Linked DNA regions of Oreochromis niloticus. The protein of the gene in region 1 interacts with the protein of each later gene in a biochemical or structural test. Links are inferred from orthologs where the notes say so. Each region holds a gene or a part of one and is shown on either strand. Other genes may lie near its edges. The genes, in order: npr2, nppc and nppb.

Evidence for each region.
Region 2: the proteins of npr2 (region 1) and nppc form a complex in vitro, tested with the Homo sapiens proteins (3 studies listed by BioGRID). The link is inferred for Oreochromis niloticus from reciprocal best matches to the Homo sapiens genes NPR2 and NPPC.
Region 3: the proteins of npr2 (region 1) and nppb form a complex in vitro, tested with the Homo sapiens proteins (3 studies listed by BioGRID). The link is inferred for Oreochromis niloticus from reciprocal best matches to the Homo sapiens genes NPR2 and NPPB.

The regions. Positions count from the first base shown.
Region 1 is NC_031972.2:31,170,014-31,180,713, forward strand, and holds the start of npr2 (atrial natriuretic peptide receptor 2), read left to right. Parts: upstream 1-5,460; 5' UTR 5,461-5,816; coding exon 5,817-6,513; intron 6,514-10,700. Other genes in the region: alad (delta-aminolevulinic acid dehydratase), read left to right, coding at 23-81. UniProt on the Homo sapiens protein: Receptor for the C-type natriuretic peptide NPPC/CNP hormone. Has guanylate cyclase activity upon binding of its ligand. May play a role in the regulation of skeletal growth.
Region 2 is NC_031980.2:34,352,369-34,363,544, forward strand, and holds nppc (C-type natriuretic peptide), read left to right. Parts: upstream 1-7,060; 5' UTR 7,061-7,479; coding exon 7,480-7,572; intron 7,573-8,669; coding exon 8,670-8,942; 3' UTR 8,943-8,967; intron 8,968-10,033; 3' UTR 10,034-10,599; downstream 10,600-11,176.
Region 3 is NC_031984.2:35,528,206-35,538,007, reverse strand, and holds nppb (natriuretic peptides B), read left to right. Parts: upstream 1-6,401; 5' UTR 6,402-6,493; coding exon 6,494-6,607; intron 6,608-6,995; coding exon 6,996-7,281; intron 7,282-7,364; coding exon 7,365-7,381; 3' UTR 7,382-7,559; downstream 7,560-9,802.

The DNA.
Region 1 (10,700 bases):
TTCTCCTTGCTCTTTGATGTAGGCGCTGACATCATCATCACCTACTACACACCTCAGCTGCTCACCTGGCTGAAGGAGTGAAGAGAGATGATCTGGACCAGAACAGAGGTGGACCAACTGACAGGGCATGCTCGCTAAAAACCCCTTTAAGGGGGAAAAAATGAATAAAAGACACAAATTGTTTCGTTTTGTGCCTTTTTCTATTGTTTATGATCAGTGTCATGATAGCAACTGAAATGGCAAACCGCACATGTATCCACTAATTATTTTTAAAGCGAGTTCAGTATCATACATACCTGTCTGAGCTTATCAGGGGCTGATATAGAGCCGAACGCTGAGAGTGTAAAAGCAGATTTTTCATTGTGACTTCTGGGTGTGTAGGATCAGCGTTAACTAAAGTCAGTTATCTCTACTAATAATATATCTGTATGAATCATCCTAAAATGTCTGATATATGTGAAGTATTTCCAGAGAAAATAAAGTCATTCACTCGGATCTGTAACTGTGTGTATTATTATTTTTAGTTTTGTTTTTGTTTTTTCCTGCTATGCAATCATATTACTTGTGTAACCCACTACTCTCATTATATAGGTACTTGATTACATAGATAATCTTATTACATGAGTACTCTGATTACAATATTACTCAGATTACCATAGTACTCTGATTATACAAGTAATCCGATTGCACCACTACTCACATTACATAGGTACTTAAGAGTATGTTTTTGTTACCAGACATAAATGTGGCTTGCTGTGACTAAAGTTTGGCTGTAATCAGAGTACTGTGTAATCAGATTACCAATGTAATCAGACAAATTGTGTAATCAAATTACTCGGGTAATCAGTGTATTTGGGTAATACTGTAATAGAGTACTTAGGTAATCAGATTACTGAGATAATTAGAGTAATACTGTAATCAGATAATAATAATAATGATAATAATGGATTGCATTTATATAGCGCTTTTCAAGAGCCTGAAAGCGCTTTACAATTCCACTATTCATTCACTCTCACATTCACACACTGGTGGACGCAAGCTACAGTTGTAGCCACAGCTGCCCTGGGGCAGACTGACAGAAGCGAGGCTGCCATATCGCGCCATCACCAGTAGGCGGTAGGTGAAGTATCTTGCCCAAGGACACAATGACCTAGACAGGCAGTCAGAGTAATGTGTAATCAGATTTATAATGTAATCAGAGTACTTGGTAATACTGTAATCAAAGTACTCAGGTAATCTGAGTACTTGTGTAATCAGAGTACTTGGGTAATAAGATTACCTGTGTAATCAGATTACTTGTGTAATCAGAGTACTCATGTAATCCGATTACATGTCTACTCTGATTACACAAGTACTCTGATTACACAAGTAATTTTATTACCCAAGTACTCTAACTAGGGCGACCATGGCTCAGGGGGTTGGGAAGCGTATCTGCAACCGGAAGGTCGCCGGTTCGATCCCTGGACTCTCTGTCCTGGTCATTGTGTCCTTGGGCAAGACACTTTACCCTACCGCCTACTGGTGTTGGCCAGAGGGGCCGATGGCGCGATATGGCAGCCTCGCCTCTGTCAGTCTGCCCCAGGGCAGCTGTGATTACAACAGTAGCTTGCCTCCACCAGTTGTGAGAATGTGAGAGTGAATGAATAGTGGCATTGTAAAGCGCTTTGGGTGCCTTGAAAAGCGCTATATGAAATCCAATCCATTATTACAGTGTAATCTGATTACCTGTTTAATTTCAGTACGTGGGTAATCAGAGTACCTGTGTAATCAGATTACTTGTGTAATCAGAGTACTTAGGTAATCAGCGTACTCATGTAATCAGATTACTTGTTTACTCTGATTACACAGGTAATCTGATTACCTAAGTAATCTGATTACACGGGTACTCTGATTACCCAAGTACTCAGATTGCAGTGTAATCTGATTACCTGCTTAATCAGAATACTTGTGTAATCAGAGTACTTAGGTAATCAGATTACTTGTGTAATCAGAGTACTTAGGTAATCAGATTACTTGTGTAATCAGAGTACTTAGGTAATCAGAGTACTCATGTAATCAGATTACTTGTTTACTCTGATTACACAAGTAATCTGATTACCCAAGAACTCAGATTACAGTGTAATCTGATTACCTTTTTAATCTGAGTACTTGGGTAATCAGAGTACCTGTGTAATCAGATTACTTGTGTAGTCAGAGTACTTAGGTAATCAGATTACCTGTGTAATCAGATTATGGGTGTAATCAGAGTACTTGTGTAATCAGAGTACTCATGTAATCAGATTACTTGTTTACTCTGATTACACAAGTAATCTGATTGTGCCACTAGTCTCATTACATAGGTACTCTGATGACCTAATAATCAGATTACATGAGTATTCTGATTACTGTATTATCTGATTACCCAAGTACTCTGATTAACTGAGTAATCTGATTACCTAAATACTCTATTACAGTATTCCCCAAGTACCTGAGTAATTTGATTACAATAATTTGATTGCAAGCAGCATACCTAGTTATGAGAGTAGTGGTGCAATCAGATTACCTGTGTAATCAGAGTACTTGGGTACTTAGGTAATCAGAGTAATCAGATTATTCAAGTACTCGGATTACAGCATTATTACTCTGATTACTACCAACTTTTTAGCCACAGACCAAGTCCAGCAATTTATCCAGAAACTTTGTTGTCTAGTAACAAAAATATACTCTTAACTCTAAAATCGGTGGCTGGCTTGTTGATTTGTTTAATTTAATATCGCTACATAAAGTCAATTGCCACCTACTGAGCTTTATTGTTTTTTACTTTTATTTAATTTAATGAGTTTCGTCTTGTTTTCTGGGCGATATCGGAACAGTAGGAATAATCAGAGCACTGAACCCGCAGTGTTTCTGGTCTACGGTGATGATTTTTGAGAGATTATCTCTTAAAGGAATGTGACAAACATGCTTCTTTTTCTGTGAGGGTTTTTTTTTTTTTATTGAATTGTATTTCTAACATACTACGATGCAATGAACAGTTCTGTTATAATGATTATGCCAAACAAGCAAAATTAATTCTATGGTTGTTTTTGCAGCGTATAAAGACCTTGACTGCTGTCTTTTGAGTCGCAGAAAAGGTGTTAAATGAATCACGAATGTCTAATTCAAGGTGCTGCAGTGTGGGTAGAGGTGATCACAGCTGTGCAGAAAAAAACCCCCTGTAAGATGCAGCATCAAAACAGCAAACAGCTATTTTAATTGCTGCATATAACCTCTTCCTGCCTCTTCACAAGCCACATTTCAGATTATTGTCTGAGGAGTAAAGTTCCAGCTGAGCGGGAAAAGCCATTACGGTAGAGTCAAATATCAAAGAGGTGTCAACCTTACTTAGTACAACAATTGCAAAACAAATAATTAAAAGAAGTAAACTTAAACTAGAGGTGGGCAGAGCGATCCAAATATCGATAGTATCGATACCAACACTAGTATTGGTATCAGACTGATACTAGCAAGTTCAGTATGCAGCCTGCTGAACTGTGTTAATTATTTCTTTGGAACAAATAAACCTCAAACATGCACTATGAAAATTGTGTGGTTTAGAGACCGAAAGGTTTACATTCCAGGTCTCCAAAAACCCAGTTTCAAAACACATGAAAAGCTGAAAGGTGTGTTTTGTAGTGTTAACTAATTATTGTGGAAAGTAACAATCACAGTGATATAGTGGTGATTAAAATGTGTTCAGAATTTGCAAACTGAGAATTCATCTCATAAGTCATAGCACACTCCTCTCGTCCAATTAGCTGCCTGAATATCTTTGGCAACACTGGCCCTGTATTTACTTGGTATTGGATCGATACCAAAATTTGTAGTGTGGCACGGCACTACTGTGAATGAGGGAAAGTGTGAATGCTGAATGTTTTTGTTGAAATGTCCAGGCAAGTATATACATGTTAAATGACAAGATATGCGTGTTCAAGTAGCTTCAATTAACACAATTTTTTGATTTCTATATGATAATTCTTCATATTTAAACAATAAGAACAAGTAGTCTGATGTCCTGTAATCATTTTGAAATACAATAGCACATTAAGTATCGGTTTCGGGTCAGTATCGTCGATACCACCCTGAATTTTACTTGGTATCGTATCGGATAGGAAATCAGTGGTATCGCACATCGCTAACTTAAACATTAATGAATCATTCATTTACAAAAGCAGCGATGAAGAGCCTGAATTGAATTGAAGAAAATACAGTATGTGTGTAGCTTTTAAAAAAACAAAACAAAGTGTTGGACATTTTATTCATTTTAACATTAAATTTCCTTCACAGGTTTTCTTGGACCCTGTCCACGATGCTTGATGAATATATCTATAAAATACCTATAATAAGTATAAAGTAAACACTCTATCTGCTTATCTATTACTTCAGTGTGGGAGGTTTTTTTTTTCCATATAGCCTCACATTTTCAGTTTTTGAACTCCCTTAACATGAAAATATTCATTATTTTACACATATAAGGAACTTTTTTACTCCATTTTCATCATCACGAGGCTCCTAAGCTTATCCTCCCTTGTAGATGGGCTTTTTTAATGCCCGGAATGAATTCTGTGACATTTTATACAAACACTCATTTTACCAAGTGAATCAAATTCTGGACTTTGCTGATCCCCTGTTGTGACCAGAACCCAACAAGCAAAACACAGACAAAGAGTATGTTTACTTTACTTACAAACAGGAACAATTTACCCTTCCAAGAGTGTCTCTGTAAATACACAGACTAGTAATGCACATGAGATACAAAGTGAAAAGCAAAAACAACCAAAAATCATAACCTTTAAAGCTAAGGAGAATGAAAAAAACCTGAAAAAGTTGTAGTTTGGTGCCCAAAACAGGAGCAGCAACGTTCAGGTGTAACATCTGCAGACTGAAGTGACTTCACCAGCTCACCTGAAAGACCTTAAATCAGTTTAGTAACACCAGCACCTTAAAACTGACAGTTTGAGCAGCCTCAAGAACAGTCCCAAACTTATTCCTTCTAAACATGCTTGCTCTGTAACATGTGACACGGCAGGCAGGGGGCGAGCTAACTCCGCTTTTTAATGGGCTGTTTCTTCATACACTGCAAAAAATACCAAATATTTTAACAGGCGATTTGACGTGTTTGGATTTGTCATCTTCTGTGAACACTTCACGTGTATAATCGTGACTCAGGGCACCTTCTTCTTCTTCCTGATGCAGTTCATTTTACTTCATCTTTCCAAGCACATAAGTGACAGTCAGGGTCTGCCGTGTTTCATTTAAGTGGGCACAATGAGGTTTTTTAGATTTAAAATGTATTATAATCTGTATTGGAATCATCTTAATTCACTGAAACATTAAAAATTACCTGAATAAAGAAAATAAACTGGGACACGCTGATTTATTGACACTGTAGGGCCCACTTCTTGCAGTGTGTGACGTGTGGGGGCCGAGCAGAGGGCTGCTCTGATTTAACTTGGAGTCATCTGGATGTGTGTTATCACTCTCCGAGAGACTGTAAGCGTAAGGACTGCGCAGCTCTGAGAAAAGTCGCTTTGGAAGTACCACGAGTTCATTAGCGGTGGATTTTTACGCATCGGAGACGCATGGCACAACCGGACTGCGATGACAAGATGACGCATTTACCGACTCTGTGGCACTTGTGATTGAGAAAGAGAGCGAGAGAGAGGGAGAGAGAGAGAGAGAGAGAGAAGGAGACAAAGTGAGGCAGACGGTTTGGTGTCAGGTTGCCACATCCGGCCGTGTCTTCTCTCCAAACGGTGCGCTCTCCGTTGCCGTGCGCTTTCTCTTTGGGACGAGAAATGGGATGCAGAGGCGCGCTGGGATGCTGCGTGCTCGCCGCACTGTCTTGCTGGCTCCTTCCCGGCTGCAGAGGTAACATAACCGTGGCCGTGATGCTCCCGGACAACCACCAGAAGTACCCGTGGGCTCTTCCGCGCGTCTTCCCGGCACTCCTCATGGCGCACGAGGACCTGCACGTCAAACACAAGCTTCTGCTCGACCGCTCCATCAACATCCTGAACTACAGCACGGAGGACCCCGCGGCGGGGTCGTGCGCCGAGAGCCGGGCGCAAGTGGTGGCCGTGGACGCCAAGCTTTACATCCGCCCGGACGCCTTCTTCGGACCCGGGTGCGTGTACCCGCTTGCCTCCGTTGGGCGATTCGCATCCCACTGGAAAATCCCGCTAATCACCGCTGGTGGACCCGCGTACGGCTTCGACAAGCGGGAGGAGTACCGGACCATTGTGCGCAGCGGACCGTCCACCACAAAGCTGGGGGACTTCGCCAACGTCCTGCACACGCACTTTAACTGGACGTCCCGGGCAGTGGTGATATTTTACGACCGGCGGCAGGACGATCGGCCGCACTACTTCCTCTCTGAGGGGATTTACCTGAACCTGAAGGAGCAGATGAACATTACAGTGGGGGCCCACCCGTACCAGGAGGACTACAAGTACCACAAGGATGTCATTACTTTTATCAAGGAGAGCGGGAGAAGTAAGTTCATGCTGAGGGAGGTGTGATTAAAAGTTTGAAATCTAGGAAGTTAAAAATGGGTATCTTACAAACCAACAGAAACACCAGCTCTAAAAGAGTATGATTAAAAACCCCAAAACATTTTGTGTGTGTGTGTGTGTGTGTGTGTGTGTATCTTTTTTTCTGTGCGTTTTTATCTTGAAGTAAAGCAGATCTCCAGCTGGATATTATAAAGATAATGTCAGTGGATGGAAAGCGAAATTTCCATCATACTGGATGATCTGCATGGGAAACAATTTGGTTAAGTTTGCCTGCATGCAGATTTATTTCCCAATTGTTTGAGGGGGGGAAAAATCTATATTCGAAATGATTTAAGTGCATCAGACCGTTGTGGAAATAACTAGATGTCCACAACAGGCATTTTGCTTTTTCTCCCAGAATGAGGTCACAGTGAAGTTTTTTCCTAAGAAGATACAAACAGAGGTGGACTGGAATAGGTGCAGGGAAAGCCTGTTTACTCGGGAGTTATTACACAGGAATGTTTAGGCTGTGGGCAGTCTGCTGCTTTGGGTTTATTGCCTTGTGGAGGACCACCACCTGTGTTTTTTAAAGACACACAGAGAGAGGGAGAAAAGTTGTGAGTAAGCGTGTGTCCTTGCAGCCAAACAGTGCTGCTTGCTTTGTAATGAGAATATAAAGGAGGCTTACAATCAATTCAGCCTGGTCAATATTTGCTGTGCAGCCAGTTAAGTTAGGTTTATATCAATTATTTAAAAATCACGTGGAGATAAAGTTTCCAAAGAGAAAAAAAAATAGCAAAGCTGTTCGGGGGGTTTGCACAGGGACCCGAAAACAGCGACTCCCAGTTCATGCAGTTTAAACTACTACATTACTGTGCAAAAGTCTAAAGCCACCCCCCATTTATTCATATTTAGCTAGGACAATAGGAAATTGGTGCACACATTTATTGAAACTTGTGCAAACTTACATATAAATACAGTATATAAATCAAAAAAGAGTTTGTATGAGTCTAACAAGCTTGAAAAATCAATATTTGGAGTGACCACATTTGTTTTTTAGCACGCCTGAACTCTCTTAGGAAAGTTTTCTTTTAATTTCTTTAAGCAGTCTTGTTCTCCTGGCTTCACGAAGGACGGTCAAAGCTCTTGTTTGGATGTTGGCTGCCTTTTGCTCCATTCTCCATCAAGATAATCTCACACTGCTTCAGTAATTTTGAGATCCGGGCTCTTGGTGAGGCCGATCCATGACTGATAGTGTTCCCTTGTGTGATTTTCTATCCAGTTATGCTTTTACTGCATTGAGAATCTGCCTGGCATCATTGCCATCCTGAAGAGAGCACCGTCCTGTGTTAATCCCGCCATCAAGCTTGTCACAATCTCTAACATCCCTCAAACCACGATAGAGCCCCCACCGTGTTTTACAGATGGCTGTAGACACCCACTGTTGTACCTGTCTCCTTACCTCTTCCAAACATTTATCTGAACCAGAAATTTCACATTTGGGTTCATCACTTCCTCATACCTGTTGCCACTTTTCACTTCAGTTCTTGTGTAATTTGATGTCCCTCAGTCTTTTCCCACCCTTATAAATGGCTTCTTGACAGCCACCTGTCCTGAGATCCGTCCCTTAAGTTCTGTGTCCGGTCTTTGTTCTCTCATCTGTTTTAGATAGTGTTTCAGACTTGTCCTCAAAGCTTTTAAGGTCACACTGCATAGCATGCTAAGTATGCATATAGAAGCCCAACTTGTTGGGCTCAAAATACTATGTTATGTCTGTTGAACTGTGCTATTATTCACATTTTTTATTGCTTAAACTAAAGAAATGAGAACATTATGTGTTTTTTCAACAGGTTGCTGGTAATAAAGTACCCAACGAAGATTATACTTCTTTATACTTCTTTGCAAAGTTGTCAGTTATGTGTAGACACAACACTGTTTCATCCCTTTAGCTAGGTACCTTTTTTAGTCCTGGAATGATTCGGAGGTCATGTTAAGTGGTTCACCAAATAATAACTTCTTTTTTTTTTCAAAATGGTAAGGTGAAGGACTGGATGGAAAATTAGTGAAAAAGCAGCCAAATGAAAACTTTGAAAGACCTCTATCACACCTGGAGAACTGCTGCTCAAGATAGGGTTAAAAAAAACTGACAGAAAAGTCTGGCTATATGACTCGAGTCTTTTGCACAGCACCTTATATAAAATATAGATAAACCACTGAAACTGTTTGCTAAAAGTCCAAATAAAACTGTAATCTAAATTTACTGGATTAATAGTTGAAATGAAGTAACTGGCTAACATTTTCAACATAAAGTTATAAATAAACAGTAAAAACTGAAACTTCTAGCTAAGCTGATGATATGAAGAGCTGTTAAAGCTACAAACCGTACATAAATGGTTGAAATAATAAGCTTACAGCAAAAGTAGCAGCAGTATAGTAATAGTTGCTAGTAGTACAGGAATGGACCCCCGCGACCCTGAAAAGGATAAGCGAAAGCGAATGGATGGATGGATAGTACAGGAATGGAAAGCTGAAAGTTGTGCAGATACAGGTTTAAATGAGTTTGCTGAAAATGAAAAATGTTGAAGAGAGACGTATTTTGGAGTCCAGGGCTGTGGGTGTAGAGGAGATGGAAAAGGTTGGGGTCCACTCCACGTTTGATTAAATTATGGGGCATTATGAAACATGAAAACACAGTTTTCCCTCAGTGGAAACAAACAGAAACAAACTGCAGCCAGTAGAAGAGCTGGAACAAGACGATACCAACAATGCCACGGTGTCAGCAGACTATTAGATAGACTTAAAGCTTCAACCTTGAAATATTTTGTCCCACTGAAAAAACCCCCCCATTCATCTAGACGTCAACAAATCATAATACCGCTATTTCTTTAAAGGTAGCAGAAGGAGGCCTTTAAATCTCTCACCACTCTTCTGTCCTTAAGCTTTACGAACTGGAAATATCATGAGGCAGACTTGACGATTACTGCTCTTGTGAAAATGCATTTGTGTGGTTGAATGTCTTCTGAATGGTAAGGTTATCATTGGATCAGTCAACATTTTGTTCTTCACTTTAGATAACATATTAGATCCTAATATGTTATTTAAATATTAAATCATATTAGAATTTCCAACTCTTATTTTTAAGTCCTTCAACCCAGTTCTTCATCTGTACAGTCTCATTTGTATTGATACGCATCCGTGTACAAGAAATAAGTATTTTCCACTTTTTAAGGGATGAAAGAACGCAGTGTTTGGAGGTTGGAGGGGTTTGGTGGTGGATGTAATCATTTCACTCCATGCACCAGAGAAAACACTTAAGTTGTATCATTTTAAATACGTTATGTATGCATTATTAATTTAAAATATGTTATCATTAAAGACTATTTGGCTGTATTCAATAAAAACTATGTCGCTAGAAAATAAAAACGACTTGGTTATGCTACAGTCACACAACAGAAAACAGTGGATATTATTGTGACCGTTTGCAACAAACTTGTGATCTCGTTGCCTGTGAAATGGTTGTTTCTAGAATAGTGACGGGTCTGCAGCAACTTGCAATCAGTTGCTGTTTTTAAAGCGACTTTGGTGTGCCACGACGGCATTAAAACAGCAGTAAGACGGAGTCAGTGTGCTAATGACAATTACGTGTTTGTGACAATATGGAAATTAACTGTGATAAATCAGCAAAAAAATCACAAATCTTTTGCAGAAATTCACATTAAACAGAATTTTACATAATGACATAGGTACTTGACAACATCTCTTTTATCTACCATATAAGAAACACAAATTTACTGCCGAGTGTTGGAAATCTGTCTGTTTAGAATCTAGATGTCAGTTATTTCCATATTTCTGCAAAAGTGTCTGAAAATAATTGTGGTCAGTCAGCGGTCTGTGTCAGACTGAGTCTGTTTACAGACATGTTGTCCACTCCACCAGGTAACCTGTGCATTTGCTTTGAAATTGGTAGCCCAGGGTGATTGAGGGTGTTGCACGCTTAACCTCTGGGTGACCAGTTAGTTGCTGCAACTACTTGCAATTGGTTGCTGAAAGCAAACATTTCCATGCCATCACAGAGCAACCAATGATTGCTCTGTTGAGCCACTCGGTTTAAGCATTTCAGACTCTTTGACTGGCTTCAGGAAATAAAAGCTGCTTTGTAAAAAGTACAATTTGGTTTAAGGCATTGAA
Region 2 (11,176 bases), on another chromosome or scaffold:
GCTTTTAGTTGGGACATATAATGTTGCATGTGATGTGACTGCTAAGGGTGCATTTTTACATTTTTATTTAGGTTATAAGTTTTCCACAAAAATATCAGGACTAAAAAAATATTCCATGCAGCAAATTCACCTGATCCAGCCGCAAATATAAGTTTTATCAAACAAAAGAGTTTCAAGCTTAAAGTACAGTGTGGCTCTGTCGGCTGAACCCAAACTGGGAGTTGGTTCCAAAGCACAGAGGTCTAACAGCTGATATCACCACCTTCCACTGTACTTTTCAAAAGTAAAGCCCTTTTACTCAGATTCTCTACCGGGATAGTGTCGTTACGTGCTATAAGGTCTTCAGGCTATGATGATTTGGATGCCATGTCATCTGCCGGTGAAGGTGGAGGTTGGTCAGCTGTCATCTAGGAGTACTTCATGCTTCCATCTGCTGACAAGCTTTAATGGAGATGCTGACTTCCTTTTCCAGCAGAAATCATCACCTGCCCACAGTGCCAATACTACCAAATGCTTGGCTGATCATGCTACTACTATGACTGACCAGCCAGCCAATCCATGCGACCCAAACCCCACAGACTGTCAAGAAGAAGACAATAAATACCTGACCTAAAAAATACAGACAAACTGAAGGCTAAGAAAGCAACCTGATCACCTGCATGCCTCGCCGCACTGATGGAGTATTTTGCATATTAGTAATATAGTTTTGAGTATATAAATTAACACACTTTTGATCATTACAGATGTACATTTTTACTCTAATCATTTGAGAAACTGGATTTCTGATTTACTTGTACTGAAGTACAAAAATGTACTTTTTCACAGTATTCAGGTATTTATGATGATGCACTAGTGAGTGTGTTCCACAGTAAAACAAGTGTTAACATTTCTGAAATTATTACATACCCCTATAATATCAAAAAACATCAAGCCAGGAGACAGGAGACCCTACCTCCTGAAAAACGAGTTCATTCCAAAACGTGTGTTTACACAGTCATCTTACGCATTTTGTGTACATTAGTCAAGTAGCTCTGTGTTGCCAATAAAGGCAAGCGTGTTTGTTGGCACATGCAAAAGGCTTCAGAGCACTTGTGTAAAAAGCATTAAAATTCCACACGCAATAAAACCGTTATTTATAGGACCATAACAGCCTTGTAGTTTGTCTTACACAAACCCAGAGGAGGAATCAAGACACTCAACCCTCCCATAGACACTCAGTGCAAAGGCTACTGCAACACATGGTCTCTCCATACGTTTGCATAGCTTCCTGGTGCAAGTAAGTTAGGCTGCTTCATTTTCATTCAGCCACATCAAAGCTTAAAAATTTACTGAAAATTGAGCGGATAAGAGTTTGCGGGAAAGGCAGGGAGAAAAAGGGGGAAGTACAAAAGGACATAGCAAAATAGGTGCTCTCAGTAACCCGTGTGATGTCATTGGGAAAAGTGTGTAACATTGTTAAACTGTACAAAAAAAGGCAAACTTGTGACACAACACTTGCGACATGAAGAAAGAATGTGTCATTCACTTGTTAAAATTCAAAATAAAGGGATTAGCAATCAGTGAAAAATGTTTTGCGAAACCCAAAGATGTCATCATGGACACAAGGTCAGCAGAGTTCAGCTGCTCTGTATTGCTGTTGTAAAAGCGGATTAGTAAAATGGTTTTCCATGCAATTGAACATCTTTACTGCAGTTACCTTGGAGTGTGAATGGCCTTTTTAGCAGCAGTAGCTGCTAAAAACATATTTTTATTGAAGCACCACTCGCATATAAGTATGCTATCACATATGCAATGTGATGTGATGCACGTGTGTTGATTAGTTTCAGCTTAAATTATTTTTTGCACTAAAGAGTAACATGCTTCAATATAAATGCCATCAACACTGTGAAAAAAACTAAAACAAAAAAAAACTAGTAATAAAAGTTCAGATGTAACAGTGTGACTCATGTCAGAAAAGTACATCCTGTTGATGATTTAAAAAGCCTACTTTATTTCAACATTTTTTTTATAAGAAAGGAACAACCTTCAAATCTTTTAGTTTGTTTTGGGACTACATGAGTACAAATGTTTTGACGACAAATTTCATCTACATTTTTTCCTGTTACTCTTACTAACTTATTTAATTCAACATGGACCAGCAGTAAAACAGGTTGTGGGCAGGGTGCAAGGGGTGACCTGTGATGGCACAGGTTTTCCTGATACAGGAGGACCTGGCAGTGGCCTTCAGGGGTGGTGTTAATAACCCTCTACACAGCCTTCCTGTTCTCAGGTGTGGGCCCTGCCTACCAAATACCCAGGCAGTAGGTGAGCACACTTTCCACTGAGGAGCAGTAGAAGGCTATCAGCAGCTTCTGGTCTGGGTTATTCTTCCTCAGGACAGAGGAAGTGCAGCCGCTGCTGGACCTTCTTTACCAGGGCGCTGGTGTTGTGGGCCTAGGCGAGATCGGCGGAGAGGTGGGTGCCCAGAAACCTGAAGGTGGAGACAGATCCCATCCGTTCTCTGTTTATAATAAGAGGGGAGTGGACTAATGTGTACCTCCTGAAGTCCATTATGGGCGCTTTTGTTTTAAGGATGTTCAGCTTCAGGTTATTTTGTTTATGTATAAGTTGTATAATTCTAATGTTTTATTTGGGAACAGAATGGTGTGTATGTGTAAGTTTGGTGATGGAGTTTTTATTATGAATGAATGATGAATTTTTATGAATTATTATGTCTATGTTTTTATGTTTAAGGACAACAGATGGAAATTAGCCCTTGGCTATAATCTGGTATTTTTACATTCATGTAATTTTTTTTACATTTATGTTCATTAACATGCACTGTCCTAAATAAATAAATTAAATTAAATTTTTGGAGTCACAGGTGTGCAGGGCGTTCAGTAGTGGGCTGAGAACACAGCCCTGTGGGGATCCAGTGCTGGAGAGAGGTAGGGCCAAGTTGGGCTGATTGAGGCAAAATTAAGAGCTATTTATCATCACCACAGCTTACCTTACTCCGGCAGATTTTATTACTGTCATTTCAGAAAGTAAATATAATGTCAGCACAGGAGGTTTTGGTTAAAATTGAAGATGACTTTAAAGAAAACCTTACCAGGGAATCAGTGAAAATATCACAGTCAGATCACCCTCGAGCACAGTACATTAGATTAAACTCATGAGTCATTTATCCATATATTTGTATTGGATCATTTGTGTTATGATTTTTTTTCTGTGAAAAATAAAGTTATCGCAAAACTAAGAACACCCTGTAATTTTAATAACTTGTAGAACCGCCTTCAGTAACAATAACTTAAGGAACAGAAGTTTTCTGTATGTCTTTATCAGCCTTTTACATTTTTGTGGAAGTGTTTTTGTCTAGCTCTTACAACATTACATTAGTTCGTTTAGGTTTTTTGGGATTCATTTATGCACAGGTCTCTTAAGGTCTCGCTGCAGCATCTCAATCAGGTTGAGGTCTGGATTTTGACCATGGCAAAGTCCAAACCTCAACCTGATTCCTTTCTTTTTGAGCCATTCTGTTATAGATTTGCTGCTGTGCTTGGGATCATTGTCCTGTTCCAAACCCTAATTTGGCCCAAGCCTTAGCTGTCAAACAGATGGCATCACTTTGGATTAGAACACTTTGGTATACAGAGGAGTTCAACTCTAATGACTCCAAGGTGCCCAACTCCTGTGGCTGCAAAACAAGCCCAAATCATCACCCCTTCACCACCATGCTTGACAGTTGGTATAAGGTTTTTGTGTTGATATGCTGTGTGCTGCCAAGTGTGATGCTGTGCATTATGGTCAGACATCTGCACTCTGGTCTCATCTGTCCAAAAGACATTGTTCCTGAAGTCTTGTGGTTTGTTCAGATGCAACTTTGCAAACCTAAGCTGTGCTGGCATGTGCTTTTTAGACAGAAGTTTTCTCCCATCAGCTCTTCCAAACTTGTTTCTACTCTTTTTCTAATTGTACTATCGTGAACTTGAAGTCTGCAAAGTCCGATATTTAGCTCTTGTTTTTTAATTTTTATTTATTTTTTTGCACTGCTCCGACTTCAGAGTGCTATAAAAACTTTCATTATATTTTTCTTTTTATAGCTTTATATAGCCAAAACAAGTCCATTACTTTCATTTCAAGCAATTAAGAGAACTTCTGCATGTAGTGACAGTGATGAGTGTAGTAAGTTTGTTAGATTGAAGGAAAATTGACATTGTAATGCTTTGTCCTGTCTTTGAAGAGAAGCAAAGTCTGGATGCATGTTGCTCTGTTATAACATCATATATCACTGGCCAGTCATCTTGTTCATCTGTTCAGTTTATCAATGTCTCTGTTTTATGAGTTTATAGGGCAAAACCATTTACTTTATATGCTTTATCAAAGTAACGTTGTCTAATTATACACACAGTATTTTATTAAGCCTTCATAGTCATAATCTTTAATATACACCATAAGTGATTATTATTATTAACGATCATTTTTTATGGTGTGCAACCAAAAAGAAAGCAGAGTATTCAGCAAAGGCTGAAACATGGACACCTAATAATGACACTGCTGCTGGCTGCCATCCAAACATCATTTTTGCTGCTTGATTCAATGCAAATTCAACACACGTTCTGATTGACATTTTATGGCAGGTAGGCCAGCACTGCTACAATAAATATGATATATGTTCTGCAAAAAAATGCAGGTATACACTTTCCATATGCCAAACCTGCTCTAAAAAGCCTTTATAGGACTTTCAAATCCTGACGATCTGCTGATTAATGACTTAGTTTTACAGTATAGTATTGATCCACTAACATGTGACTTTGAGGGGTATTCGCTTTTCGGCATAGCAAATACTGCCACTCTGTGTTCCAAAACAGATGGTGCTGCCTGAGCTTTCTGCTCCACTATGTGGGGCCTCGACTACTCCAGAAACACTCCACACTGCAAAAAGTATATTTTTTTTTTCACAAGGGTTTTGGTATTGTCTCAAAATGTGCGCATATTCTTTAAATAGGTAAATTATTCCCAGTGGGGTGACTTTTCAGCTTAAACTTCCCTTGACAACATGCCGTTTAAGTTGTATAGTGATTGATTGCAACTTATTTTAAAACATTTTTAGATCATCATCATTTTAACTGCATATCACAAATTAATAGTGACAGTTCTATGCATATCTTAAAGCAGGTCAAGCGGCATATGTAACCAACCGTGGGTGAGCTTACGAGTGTTAGGCAACTATACATCAATGTCAGGCAGTACCAAAAAACGCTTCTTTATAGTTGAACTTTCTTGGTTTACACTGTTTAAAACACGTATGGTCAAACTTTTAGATTTAACATGGAACTACTCTCTCAACCCTGACAGTGAAGCAACTCATGCATGTGTCACACTTCTACAGAAGGGTCACTCTCTCACAGAGTTCCTTTTTTTAAAATCCTGAGCATCAGAAACTTTTCTTGGACACTTCCAAGGTGTTTCCACCGTATTCCCAGCCCCTATAGCCAGCTCCTTTATTCAGTTCTGGCTAACCAGTCATTACTGGTTGACATAAAACAGGTGCAGCAGTGCTGGACACTAAATTAAAAACTCTGGTTTTCTGCCAAAAGTAGACAAACCTGGTGCAAATTGCTTAAATACAACTACATTCATTTATATGTTAAAAAAAAATAATCCCCAGCTGCAGATTAAAGCTAGATTTTTTATACATTTTAGTGCTACAGTAATTTTTTCCGGTAAGACTTACTTGTAACACTTTAAACATGAAAAAGCATTCATTTATTGATATGATGTATAGAAGAATATAGCTTGAGAGTGCTCTTTGTTGATTGGCATTCTCTAAACCAGTAAGAGGGGTTGAAAGGCTACGAGTCATAAAGGCTTTTTCTTACACCAGATTTTATACCGACACCCATTCAACTGTTCTTCTCTGGACTTGTGGTAAAGTAACATAGTCTGTATGAAAACCCATCGTCACTCATTGGTTGAAGTCAGCGGCTAATGCCAATTCTTAAGCCTAAAGTAAGTATAGACATATAGACTTCTGTACAGTTTCACTCATTTGTGCAGAGTCACCCTCCTCCTGGTTTATAGAAGTATCGCTGGTTTAATATCCTGCATATTGACTGCACTCTGCAGACTCACAGGCTAAAATTTAAGAAAGCAGCAGCTTTTCTTAGTGACATGCCAACTTTGATTCAAGAACAGTATAACACCATAAATTATGGCTGGACACTGGTGTGGTAATCATTGCTTAGGGTTCATGTCTGTGCTTCTGTATGGTGCTTGGACACTGTACAGTTATGCTACTGAACAGTCAGCCTCCTTTCTGTGTTGGAGGTGACTGTCTAAACAGCTCCACACATCCAGTGTGTGTCGGAGTAGCCACAGTAGTTCTGAGATTCTTCTCTGTAAGTGGGCTACCTGATCTAAAGACAGAAAACAAACTGTAAGATACCCATGAAACACAAAACCATCTAATTAAAAGGTTTATGGGGAACTGCCATTTACATCCAGACACATGACATGACTTATAATGAGTGTCTCTGTTTTTTTATGAATCAGCATGAACCGTCTGAAGTTTTTTCGGTGTGAATCCCCCTTAGCTGATGTCATGCTCTGATGTAAATAACGTCGAGCAGATGACTTAAACTGGGTTGTTTAATAATTCCATCTCTGTATGTTTGCATTCTTCTGTATAATAATAATAATAATAATAATAATAATAACAATAATAATAATAATAATAATAATAATAATAATAATAATAATAAAGTTTTACCCTTTAAATAAATAAATGAAAAACGCGGGGCTTGAGTGGCGCAGTAACACATCACATTATTTCTGGTAAAATTCCGCTTGGTGCCTTCCAAAAAAGTGATTAGATGAAGAAAATCACATTTGAATTTCTGGAAGGTATCTAAAAAATGACCTAATTCCTTTAATTCCAGTAGCAGACTCTGAATTTTCGCTTCGTTAAAGAAAACAGGATATGTCATCCACGCGCAGCATATTGTATGTCTTTTTAAGATGTTCCGCAGGACAGGCGGTTGGCATCCTAGAATTCATTTCACTGCCAAAGTCGCTCTTCAGCTCTTGACGCGCAGCCTTTGAAACCACCTTTGGTTTCAGCTGTTGCATCTCAGCCAGAGGTCTAAAAGCTTAAAGTCTGTGCCTTTTGATAGCTTATAGCCTATATCATTTTCTCTAACACCGCGATGACCGGAGCTTGTATCATTTAATTAATCCCTGGCGTGACGTGCTTAGAGGCAGGTACAAAAAACAGTGAATAGGCGAGGAAGGAGAACCATTACGCAGGTTTTCATGACATCACCATGGGCTGGCTATAAAGCGGCGAGGATTAATACACAGAGTTAGAGAAGCACTTGAGGAGCTTTGGAGTAAAAAACGGACTCTCCTTGTGTTTAGAAGCTGATTGGCTGAAGCTAACGTCCTTCGATCTGAACTGCAGCGCAGAGGAATCCCCGAACAACTGCTAGACTTGTCAAAATGAACTTGTCATACTTTGTAGCATGTGGACTTATGGTCACCTTACTTTCAGTGAGGATGGGGGCAAAACCTTTAACTCAAGCGCAGCAGAAGGTAAGAAAAAGTCACTTGTATTGTTATTACTGACTAGGAGAACCTTTTGATTGGTTTGGACTAAAGCTGCTGGAAGCTGAATACTGAATAAGCAGCTGATCTGTGGCACAGGTCCTCCAGGACAGTAGCTTTGCGCATCATATTTCACAATTTGGTTCTTGTTAAGCTGTTGGGGAAAATCTGTCTTTTTCCACACTCGGAGTGTAACACCCCTGTCCACTTGCACTTTATTTACAAACAGACGGCATGTTCAGTGACATGCAACCGAAACAGCCGGTGAAAGTTTGTTTCCGAGCATCCCTTTGATATTTTTAGACTTTAAATCGCCCCAATGCGATTTTTTAAATGAAACCACATATGGGGAAAACATTAAAATTCTTGCTTTACAATAACTCTGAAAAGCGATTATACTGACTATCAACATCATTTTTGGAATTTTATGTATTTATTAATTGTTGTCAAAATAAGATTCACCAAACCAAAACAAAATTGTGCGTAAAATCGCAATTACGCATAGAATTGGCCCGAATGAATAAAGCTGACCCTTTAAAAAATACTCGTTTGAAATAATGTTGTAATTATTTGCTAAACTCACTAAAATTTGGGAATGTTGGAGGTCTTCGTTACAGTCTACTTTACGAACAGATAAGTAAGCTACACGCACCTGTTTTAAGTTTGTTTATTTTTTTCTTCACTTTGAGAGCGAGGTGTCAGAGTAGGTAACTTAATAAAACAGAAGTACTGCACCCTCTCGGGATGTTCCCTTCTTCAGGGGTTTCCTTCGAGGTTTGAACCTCATGACTGGAGCGTCTCGTGGATCTTTCCCAAAGTTGTTTTTGGTTAGATGATACAAGTTAATGAATTTTTGAGTGCCGTGCTGTGAGAAAAATGCCAACGCGTTTTCCCCCCTGGCCATTACGTTTGTGAAAGCGTTAGAATATATGCCAAGCTGAGGTTTACCTCAAACATTTAGCATATAATGACTGCTCTGCTGAAACGGGCACAAACCATAGATTTCACTTTCATCAAAAGCATTTGTCTTTGCACAATTTATTTGCCTGAGGGAGAGATTGTTTATTTATTTTCTTATCTTTCAGTCTCTTAGAAGTTTGCTGGGCGAGGAGCTGGCGGAGTTTCTGGAGTCGGAGGAGAGGGAGAGACGGCTCGACGCTGTGCGCACTCGGATACGCTTACTGCGCGATTTACGGGTGGACACCCGGCCCAGAGGCATGTTGGCTCGTCTCCTCAACGATCAACCCCCAAACAGGAAACACAAATCGGGAAGCAAGAAGGCTGGCTCCTCGTCACGGAGTGGCTGCTTCGGACACAAGATGGACAGGATAGGCACCATCAGCGGCATGGGATGCTAGGGCTGGAGCAGCGCTGCAATGAATGGTGAGTGGTCGCTCATATCAGTCCCACTTTAACATTATGCAACACTAACTGCAGCCACAAACAGTGACATGTAAACAGAGCCCAGAATGAACAGGGTGAAATGAAATGAAAGAATAAATGCTGAAAGACAAGACGGAGACGAATTACAATCAGGGATTTAAAAAAAGAATGGCCTGGTTAATAAAATGGGCATAATAATTTATTTTTTAATATTTTATTTATTATAATTTCATGTTGGTATTCCTCACGTTAAAAGGATGATTTTACAGGATTATCTGTCATATACCTAAGACACATGTATTTATGCAGCATTGCATGGTTCAGCTACATGGAAAATATTGTGGTTCACTAACTGCCTTTGACATAGAAATATTCAATCTAGGGAAATAATCAAGCCTTAACCTTGTAGCATTACCTCCTAGGACAGGATAGTCTTAGGATAGTTTAAGTGGATAGCCCACTTAAGCTGATGTATGGGAAAGAAACCAGTGAGCATTTAGGAAGTCCACTCTTGTATCTGTGCACATCATCATGAATGATCCCATCTGCTTCTATAACACAAGAACAATATATCACATTTAAGAAAAAGGGCAGGGAGATATCGAGGACGGAAGTGGGGTTGCAGAGACACATTCACGCACATATTTGGTTGTCAAGATCTTTCTTGGAAACGCATTTGTTTCACTAAGTGTTTTTAACATAAACTGAAAAGGGGGCTGTGTGGGTTAATTAAGGATTGGGGAATCTAAGTGACACACGATTAGTCCTGAGGCTTCACACCTTTTTTCGATTTTATGGTAAACTCTGAAATCCGTATGGGGGAGTGTTAGTGACTAACAATGGGTGAGTGTGTTTTTCATTGGTTAACACCATACGGGTGAGTTAATCTGAAGTAAAGTGGTTAGATGAGAAGTGAGTTAATGAGTAAAGAACCAACAAGTAAATTTGGAGATTCCCTGACTGATACACGTATTACGTTAAGAAAAGAGCGAATAAATGAACATGTGTTCATTAGGCTGACCTTGAAAGACTAACCTTTTGCTTTTGTTTTCCTCTCTTTTTCTAGATCTCTGGACGATGTGTTTGTTTGGATGACAAAAGTTGAGTTTGTTCTTACCAGAAGGGGAAAATATAGAAAAACTCATCATGATTGTTCTTTGGTACGAAAGTCACCATGACCAGCATAAACAAAGACTTGGATGACAATACTACAAAATCCTAATATAGATCTATATATATATATACAATAAATATGCAGGTATATATACATATATACAGTACATATATGTATACCATACAACATGGTCAACAGATACAAACACAGATGCGTAGTACAACATGGCGGACAATGGTGTAAAAACTACATACCGCAAAGCTGTATATTGTTGCTGCTGCTGCTGCTGTACATTCATGTACTTCATCTTTCCCTGCATAAATGTATTTATGTTTAAAATCTATTTATATGTTTATAAAAAAAAGAGATATTTATAAATATGAATTTTATTTATGTAACATTTTGGAAATGGATGCAAACTGTAGGTCAATTCTGTTTGTTGCCTTTTTTTTCCCATTTGTCTCAAATAGTTGTAAATGTTTTCAAAAACGATAAAACGGACATTCCATGTGCACTTACATCTTTGATCTCGGTGTCTTTGTGTGTTCCGTGAAACTAGTCAATTCTAGTTGGTGAGCATTTTCTGCCTGGCTTCTGGAGGTTTTGTCAGAAGAGAAACAACGACTGCCCTGCTGTTAGATGGAGCGCCATTCATTTTTATTCAGTTCAATTCAGTTTCATTTCTATGGCGCCAATTCACAAGAAACAGTGACCTCGAAGCGGTTTATGTTGTAAAGACCCTACAATATTAGAAAGAAAAGAAAAACCAAGCAATCATTCGACCCCCTCTTGTTGATGGTGGGAAGAAAAAACTCACTTTTAATAGGAAGAAACCTCCAGAACCAGGCTCAGGGAGGGGCAGCCATCTGCTGTAGCCGGTTGGGTTGATGTTACAAAAGGCACACTTTGGTACAGAGAGCCAGAGTTTAACATTTACTAAAGATTTTATGCTGCTTGGATTTTGAAAAAGTGTTTCAAACATTAGCAAATATCTGAAACTCTGTGTTATCAGATAAAATGTTTATATGAAACAATAAGGATTTGTTGAGTGCTGCATCTATACTGCTGCATTCAACCTAGCATGATCTACCCACA
Region 3 (9,802 bases), on another chromosome or scaffold:
CTTGCATTGAAATGTGCTGCAATGACCCGGTTACTGCGTTCACCAGACATCAACACAATTTCGATCCGCTCCTCACGTGTTAACCTCTTTGACATGTCAATGGCTGTGAACAAAGAGAAACTTGTAAATAACTCATGAAAGAATAAAGTTACATTGAAACCAAGCACACCATTGTTTTTCTTGTGACATTAGCAATAAGTTTGATGTGTCACATGGCCCTCTTCCTATTGAAAAAACAAAAGTTGTATCCAAGATGGCCGACTTCTAAATGGCCACCATGGTCACCACCCATCTTGAGGAGTTTGCCCCCTCACATATACTAATGTGCCACAAACAGGACTTTAATATCACCAACCATTCCCATTTTATCATGGTGTATCCATATAAATGGCCCACCCTATATATCTTACAAAAAGAAGAAAAGAAGTGCTTCATGACTGATGGCTGATCCTGCGAGTGGGCAGGTAGAAGTACAACACACAGAAACAGTGAGACTGGTGAAATATGTGGCCTGACAAACACACAGTCAGTCAGGATTAAATGCCAGTCCCTCAGCCAACTAACATCTAACAGTTGGAACTGAATAGAATGGCATTCATATCATGCTTTCCTAACTTTTATTGACCACTCAAAGGGCTACAACCAAATATAAACAATAAAAAAGGTGCAGTTTGTTTTCACTCATTTGAATAAACATTTATGTGATATTTGTGTGATGAAACCAACTGAATGTTTACATTTACATTGTGTTGAAAACTACAATTATAAAATAAAACACCCATGAGTTGTGACAAAAAGTATTCGTTTGTGGTCAAGTATTTCTTACCAAAGAGGAAAGAAAGTACGTTGTACCTTCTTATCACTTAACACAGTTGTTGCTTGACCGTTATTAGAGCCTCACTTAAAGTTGCTACCGCAGTCAAGGGCAGAAGCTATTAGTGAAACGAAGCTAATTAGTAGTGAAGCTTGTCAGGTGGGCATGCATACACTCGTAGACTATTAAATGCATCCTTTAACTACTACTTCTCATTTTTTGGACCCACTTCCCCATGACTATTGTTCCAACACAGCACAACCACTCCGAACCATGTCAGGGCCTTTTTAAATTGTATGATTGTTTTAATCAGTTAGACACAAATACCTCAAATAATAAGAGTGAGTATCTGCTCAAACACTGGATCAACCTTCTGTTGTCATTAACTGGACGATTTGCAACAGTCAAAATTAAAGTCCACAGAATAATTATCTGTTCTTAATGCCCCCAATAACTCTCACAGACAACTGCTTTAAATCCCTCAATGCATGAGCAACAAAATTCTATCAGAAAAGCAAGAAACCCCAAATTTCCATAGCAACACTACAAAATAGTAATTGGCACGATAGATTAGAAGCACTACAAATTTGAATTACTATGTCAAAGTTACTGTAATCAACTAAAATATTTAATCAAATGGATACAAAAGGAAACCTACAATAACTCACGGATAGATGTAGATCTTAGGAAGTCAGAAATTACAAGTTGGTGACATCCTGGTGGAAAGCAAACAAAATCATTAAATTGTCACCCTCACCATGTATTATTGTCTAAAGTCTATCCTTTAAGCTCAGGTCCTCTACCAGAGGCCTGGGAGCTTGAGGGTCCTGCGCAGTATCTTAGCCGTTCCTAGGACTGCGCTATGCTGGACAGAGATCTCTGATGTTGTTCCCGGGATCTGCTGGAGTCACCGCACCTAGTGCTCCAATTACCACTGGGACCAGTGTTACCTTCACCCTCCACATCTTCTCGAGTTCTTCTCTGAGCCCTTGATGCTTCCTTTTTTCCCTAATGTTGCTGTCATTCAGTATTGCTACTTCTATTACTATGGCTGTCTTCTTCTGCTTGTCGACCACCACTATGTCCGGTTGGTGAGCCATCACCATTTTCTCGATCTGTACCTGGAAGTCCCACAGGATCTTAGCTCTGTCGTTCTCCACCACCCTAGGGGGAGTCTCCCATTTTGACCTTGGGACTTTCATTCCATACACAGCACAGATTTTCCTGTATAGTATGCCAGCCACCTGGTTATGGATCTTGAGCTGAGCGCTTGTTTCTGTGCTGCCATAATTAGTGCCTAGTTCAGCCACTGGTAGAATTTCTGGATTTCAGCCACTTCCTCTACATACCGTCTAGGGGCCTTTCCTTCCATGATGACTCTTCCTTTTGCTCCGCTTCTTTCTTGGGTTTCTGTTGCCAGAGTTATTCATTAAGCAAGTGGTCAGTTGTTCCCATCTTCCTGCAGCTTTCCTAGCAGCCTCTTCATGGTTCCTATTTGGCTCTGGGATTCCCAGGTACTTGTTCTTATTTTAGTGTCTGCAATGTTGCCTTCTGGTAGAATGATCTCCTCAGTTCTGACTACCTTCCCTCTTTTTGTTACCATCCAACTACACTTCTGCAGTCCAAACAACATCCCGATGTCATTGCTGTAGATCCTCACGGTGTGGATCAGTGAATCGATGTCTCATTCACTCTTGGCATACAGCTTAATATCATCCATGTAGAGGAGGTGGCTGACCACTGAGCATTGCTGTTATGTGTTGCATCCTTTTCCCATATGCTCTTCCAGCACTGCTCCATCTCAAGCCTTGGTGGTGGCGTTCTCATATTGTTCTCTTGCCACTGAGAGTACACCTTGGATGGTTCTGTGGAGAACAGCTGGTTTATTGTCCTGCCCTCTATCTCTCCGGTGTACCTCTTCAAGAGGCTGGCCAAGGCTGTGAGTCTTTGCTTGGCAGTTTCCATGGCCTCAGGTATGAACAGCTTGCTGTAATTCTTAGGCACCTTCTTCATCGCACCTTTCTGCAGTTCCGATAGTTGGCTAACCTCCCTCCTGGCTAACTTGATCCTAGCCTCTGTTCTATTTCTCCACGGAGGGTACTGCTCCTTGTGGCTATTCATTTTGTAGCCAAGCATCTCACTGATCACTGCTGCCGTGGTGTAGATCAGCTGGTTAGTCTCGGTAATGGTGGCAGTAGGTATCGTCCGTAGTGCTGCATTCACATCATCTAGTAGACCTTCAGAGGGTACTTCACTTAATCTCGTCAGGTTGGTACACAGCTGACAGCCCTATTTGACAACTGTTCAATTATTGTCAGACCCCTAACAAGATGGCGCCTGTTATTGGCAATGCCACTGTCAGGGTCTCTATTTTTCTGTTTTTTATGGCATTACATATTTTGCTGCTGTCTGTGTATGAGATTACAGCTACCTACGTTTAAACCTTATTTCAGATTAAGTTAGCAATGGAGTCTATGGATGAAAATGGGAAACACTTTGGAGGCTTCCCTTCACCATTTGGGCGATCAGCTGTTACCCATAACCTCCAATGGTTGCTTGTGTTATGCAGACTCTTTCCCTGACAAAGAGTCGTCAGGGGAAGTGAGGAAGGAGAGTGGGCATCCAAGTGAGATTACAGAAATACAAGAGTAGCGGTGATTTAGCGTCCTTCTTGGCGCTCCCGGTGTTGGATGTTTTAGCTAAAACGGACCTCCAGCTGAATGTATGGCTTCTCCGCAGAGGTTTTGGCAGGACACCGTGTTTGAGACCAGTTTTCCCACACCATGTGAGTGACCATTTCATTGTCCCACGGCTTATGAGAAACCATATGAAGTCCTGGGGAGTGTACAGGGCACACTTGCACCAAGCCCCTTAGGATTTAACCAGAGATGCTTCAGCCTGGCCGATTAAGACGACAATATTAAACTCCTGTTCAATCTCAGTGAATAGCATTGTCTCTCCTCCAACTCCGTGTACACCTGTCTTTTCAGATATGGATTGCAATGACTTTTAAAGATTTTTCCAAGATAAGATCAACCTTAGAGGAAACATGTCTCCCTTAGATAGCCCCTTCAACTGTGATCTCCCACACCCCATAATTATGGAATCTTTTCACCCAGTTTTGTTAAAAGATCAGAAATACTAACTCAAATGAAACCCTCAACAAGTCCAGCTGATGTCTTACCTACTTCTCTGTTTCTTAAAGTTTTTGACACCACTGGGCTCTCTCTGGTCACATTGAAAAACTGTTCCCTGCTACCTTGCTCTGTCTCCAGGTGCTTTAAACAGGTGGTTATTCAACCTCTGCTGAAAAAGCTTAACCTGGATTTGACACTTCAGACAAGCTACAGACACAGCTCAAAACTTTTTTCATTACTACAGTATCAGAAAAATCATTTGGTCACAAGTAAAGAAGGCACTGGAGAAGGATAATATTCTTGATAACTTTCAACTGGGTTTTAGAAAGTTACACTCCACAGAAACAGCTCTCATCAAAGTCACAAATTACCTTTTGATGGCCGCAGACATGGGTGACCGGTCAGTCCTTGTTTTATGGGACCTTAGCTCAGCCATTTACTGTTGATCATCAGATCATAATCTACCGCTTAAATCATATGGTAAGGATATCTGAATCTGTCCTAAAATGGTTCCCCTCATTTCTGGCGGATATAACACTTTTGGTTTCAGTAGGAAGCTTTCAGTCAGATGAAGCTGAATTTTCATGTGGAGTTCCACAAGGATCGGGTTTAAGCCCCTTGTTATTTTCATTATATATTCTGCCTTTAAGCCTTATCATTAGTAGTTCCAAAATTATTTCCTACCATCTGTATGTAGACAATATCCAACTGGACATCTCCTTTAAACCCTGTGAATTAAACAAATTAGCTGTTCTAATGGACTGTCTTAGTGCGATTGATGGTTGGATGACAAACAAAAGACTGTGTGTTTAATTCTTGCTCCAGAGATTATCAAGCCCTAAATCAGGCAACATCTGGGTTCTTTCTCATCCACGGTAAAAGCTAATGCTCGGAATCTCTAGTTAATTTTTTTTTTATCAATCTCCGTCTTTTGATATTCATATCAATTCTGTGACCTGCTCTCACTTTTTTCATTTAAGAAATATCGCCAAACTCATGAGTATTGTCTCCAAAGGTGAACTGGAGATGCTTGTTCATGCCTTCATCTCCTCCCGATTAGATTATTGTAATGCACTCGATTACTGGCTTCGCTGGCTGGCTTCGCTGCCAGCCTCTGTCACACCAGTGGCTCTGTTTAGATGATGGGCTCCTCTCCGGCCCCAGCCACTACTGGAATAGGTAATGCATGATTAAATGATGCTTGTCGGTTGTGAAGATCAGCCTCCCCTGCATCCACACCCTGAACCCGCTGCTCCACCCCACCACTGCTGGATTCACCTTCTTATTTGGATTCAGGGCTGAACCTGCTCTCATCTGCAAGGAAATTTGAGGTACCAATGGTAGACCTGCTAGTTCTAGTGTTTTCTGGGTCCATTCATGACAGTTTTGTCTGAAAAATGCACTAGTGGCTCACTGGTGGTCATTTTGTAGGACTCTGGCAGTGCTTCTCCTGCTCCACCTTGCCCCAAACCCAAATACTGTGATGATCCTTTCATTTTTTTAGAGGAGTTTATTCTGAAGTTACTTTGTTTACAAAAAAGTGAGATTTTTGTTGTTGTTGTTATTAATGAACTTATTGTTTTTCTTGTTTGTGTTCATTCAATTAATGAGGATTCTGTGACTTGGTGGTCCAAATGATACTGCTTCAATAATAAATACAGTTTTATTTATTTACACTTGCCAAAATCCCAGCAGTGAGTTTGACAGTTACTATAACTGCATGAAATATAAAAGACTTCCTGTACTTGTCTGTGTGAAAGCAGAGCTGAGCAACATCAGTCTTTTAGAGACAGTACTTCACCTAAATTCATAATCATTTAATTCACTGCTATATTTGATTAAAGTTATCACAAGGCAGTGACTTGTGAGTGATATGTGTAGTGTTTTGTTTTTCCTTTGCTTCTCACAGCAGGTCAGCAATGACAGTTCAGTTTATTCTCATACATATTCTGGATGCAACATCAATTCAAGAAAACACCGACAATTAAAAATGTTGTAATTATCCAAAGGTGACAGACTTTAAAATACGCTTTCAAGAAAAGAACATTAGGCAGTGTAAACATCACATCAGCAGATTGGACTCCTCATTTTTGCCACTATTCCTGCCACTAAAAGATGATCTCTCAGAACAATTATCAGCAGGCGACCGTACAACTATTACATATGTGTCTTCATTTAGTAACACTATCATGTTGTCACATTAGTTTACTACTTCCTGTAACTCAGTGACAACAGTGTCCCGTGTGAGGTGGGAAGGCTCTGGAGAATGTTTCTCAAGCAAAGTAGCATATGGAAGCAGCTATGTCATAAGAATACTAGCATACAATGCTTTAAAAGGAGCATTTTCCGACAGCTCGTGTTATCAGAATTAGGTGTCAGGCATGCCGGTCCAATTCCTGGCATACCTATGTGTGTTAACCTTAAGTATAAAAGAGAGTGCTGCTGTTGGCTCCAGCATCCAAACACCTACAAGTCAAAGAAGAAAAAGAGAATTTATCCATTCATCCAACTACTAACACGAACAGCAGCAACTCAGAGCATCATGCGTCTGTCTTCTATGTGGCTCTGTAGCCTCCTTCTCATTTTAAAGCTGCAGCTGACTAGCATGTATCCCATCAGTACTGGCTTGACTGACACTGACATGGACATCTTGAAGGTAAGTCTCCTCACACTAACTTTTTCTTGAAAAGGTTGAGTCTGCCTGGGAATTTTAGGCAATCTGTAGCAGCAACCAGAACAAGGAACTCAATTTTATTTATAGACTTTAATGTTAGTTATTCACGTAAGATGTTGAACAACATCCTGCATTTCCTTCCATAGCTGTTCCCAATATTTAGCCTTGATATCTCATGTGATAAAGCATAGAGTCTGATCATTTTCATCTTACCTGTGCTCCAATATTGCTTCTAATAATCTCAATAAACTGAGACATAAATTGTTGACAAATACATTTGAGTGCCTCTGTCTATCCTCATGGCATAGTTAAATTGCCATGTTTATTATTTAAGACCCAGTACAACTTTCATCTGTGTGGATCTTTAAAGGTGCTCCTCAGCAGACTGGAGGAGTCTGTTTCAGAACAAATGGCAGTGGACCAAAGTGCCCCTGGACAGAGGGATCTTCTAGACAGCCTGAGCACAGAGGACGCAGGAGATGGACCTCAGCCAGACGCTGGACTAGATGAAGCTGAAATCCGGGAGTTTCTTTCAGCCAAGAACCTCAAGAGTGTCCGCAATGATTCATCTAGGAGATCTTCTGGTTGCTTTGGGCGACGGATGGACAGAATAGGCTCCATGAGCTCTCTGGGTTGCAACACTGTGGGAAGATACAGTAAGTTACAGTAACTTCACTACAATAAGGTTAGAGTAATGTAGCACAGATTTAACTCTTACTCTCTTACTCTTCTCTTGCAGATCCAAAGCAAAGATGAAGTCTTACCATCTAAATTCCAAAACTGCAACGTCTCTACACAAAGATACTTTTATTTAAAGGCTATTTATTTACTAATATTTATTAAATACTGTTGCTCAGCAGAATATTTAAAAAAAATGGAACCAAAACTGTTCCTTGTGTACTGTTGAATGTTTTAATAAATGTTTACAAATGCAGGTCATTGGCCCTCATCACTGACCATCAGACACAGCCAGCATATTTCAAAAAGACACTAATGTACGGGAGACTTTTCCTTTGAACTGTCAAATATAAAAACACAAACTGAAACATGTAGTGTCGTCTTAATGAAGAAGCTCTTGTCATTCTGAGTAACTAGCAGGAGCAGGGAGCTCTATGCAGGACGTTTATATACAGAATTCATTTGATAACAGATTTATTTTAATGTCTTCATAAAAAAAATGATCTGACACAGACCGCGCATGAACATTAATGAATATCCTGAACTATTTATTGGTGATAATGATTTTCCATTCCCATTTATTTCACTGCCAGTGCATTACTGGTGATCAGCTGAGTAGTTTAGTGCATACGGTCTTAGCTTGGCACCTGATTGTGTCTTCGAGGTTGTTTAAAGGCTTTCTAACAAGGAAATGATGTACAGTGAATTACAGTACAGCTGAGCACTCCATCATCAGTGCTCCACTGATTAAAGCTACAATTACATCATCATCAGTGAATTTGAATTTGCTGACATTTTTAGAGGGTTCAAACCACCTTTCATGGCCACATGGTTTAGATGGCTGTTTGACTGATTGATATATTGATTGTTTCCAACAGATGTAGAGTGGCTTGCAAAAGTATTTGGCCCCCTTGAACTTTTCCACATTTTGTCACATTACAGCCACAAACATGAATCAATGTTATTGGAATTCCAGGTGAAAGACCAATACAAAGTGGTGCACACGTGAGAAGTGGAACGAAAATCATACATGATTCCAAACATTTTTTACAAATAAATAACTGCAAAGTGGGGTGTGCGTAATTATTCAGCCCCCTTTGGTCTGAGTGCAGTCAGTTGCCCATAGACATTGCCTGATGAGTGCTAATGACTAAATAGAGTGCACCTGTGTGTAATCTAATGTCAGTACAAATACAGCTGCTCTGTGACGGCCTCAGAGGTTGTCTAAGAGAATATTGGGAGCAACAACACCATGAAGTCCAAAGAACACAGCAGACAGGTCAGGGATAAAGTTATTGAGAAATTTAAAGCAGGCTTAGGCTACAAAAAGATTTCCCAAGCCTTGAACATCCCACGGAGCACTGTTCAAGCCATCATTCAGAAATGGAAGGAGTATGGCACAACTGTAAACCTACCAAGACAAGGCCGTCCACCTAAACTCACAGGCCGAACAAGGAGAGCGCTGATCAGAAATGCAGCCAAGAGGCCCATGGTGACTCTGGACGAGCTGCAGAGATCTACAGCCCAGGTGGGGGAATCTGTCCATAGGACATCTATTAGTCGTGCACTGCACAAAGTTGGCCTTTATGGAAGAGTGGCAAGAAGAAAGCCATTGTTAATAGAAAACCATAAGAAGTCCCGTTTGCAGTTTGCCACAAGCCATGTGGGGGACACAGCAAGCATGTGGAAGAAGGTGCTCTGGTCAGATGAGACCAAAATGGAACTTTTTGGCCAAAATGCAAAACGCTATGTGTGGCGGAAAACTACCACTGCACATCACTCTGAACACACCATCCCCACTGTCACATATGGTGGTGGCAGCATCATGCTCTGGGGGTGCTTCTCTTCAGCAGGGACAGGGAAGCTGGTCAGAGTTGATGGGAAGATGGATGGAGCCAAATACAGGGCAATCTTGGAAGAAAACCTCTTGGAGTCTGCAAAAGACTTGAGACTGGGGCGGAGGTTCACCTTCCAGCAGGACAACGACCCTAAACATAAAGCCAGGACAACAATGGAACGGTTTAAAACAAAACATATCCATGTGTTAGAATGGCCCAGTCAAAGTCCAGATCTAAATCCAATCCAGAATCTGTGGCAAGATCTGAAAACTGCTGTTCACAAACGCTGTCCATCTAATCTGACTGAGCTGGAGCTGTTTTGCAAAGAAGAATGGGCAAGGATTTCAGTCTGTAGATGTGCAAAGCTGGTAGAGACATACCCTAAAAGACTGGCAGCTGGAACTGCAGCAAAAGGTGGTTCTACAAAGTATTGACTCAGGGGGCTGAATAATTACGCACACCCCACTTTGCAGTTATTTATTTGTAACAAAAATGTTTGGAATCATGTATGATTTTCGTTCCACTTCTCACGTGTACACCACTTTGTGTTGGTCTTTCACCTGGAATTCCAATAACATTGATTCATGTTTGTGGCTGTAATGTGACAAAATGTGGGAAAGTTCCGAATACTTTTGCAAGCCACTGTATAACAAGTCACACT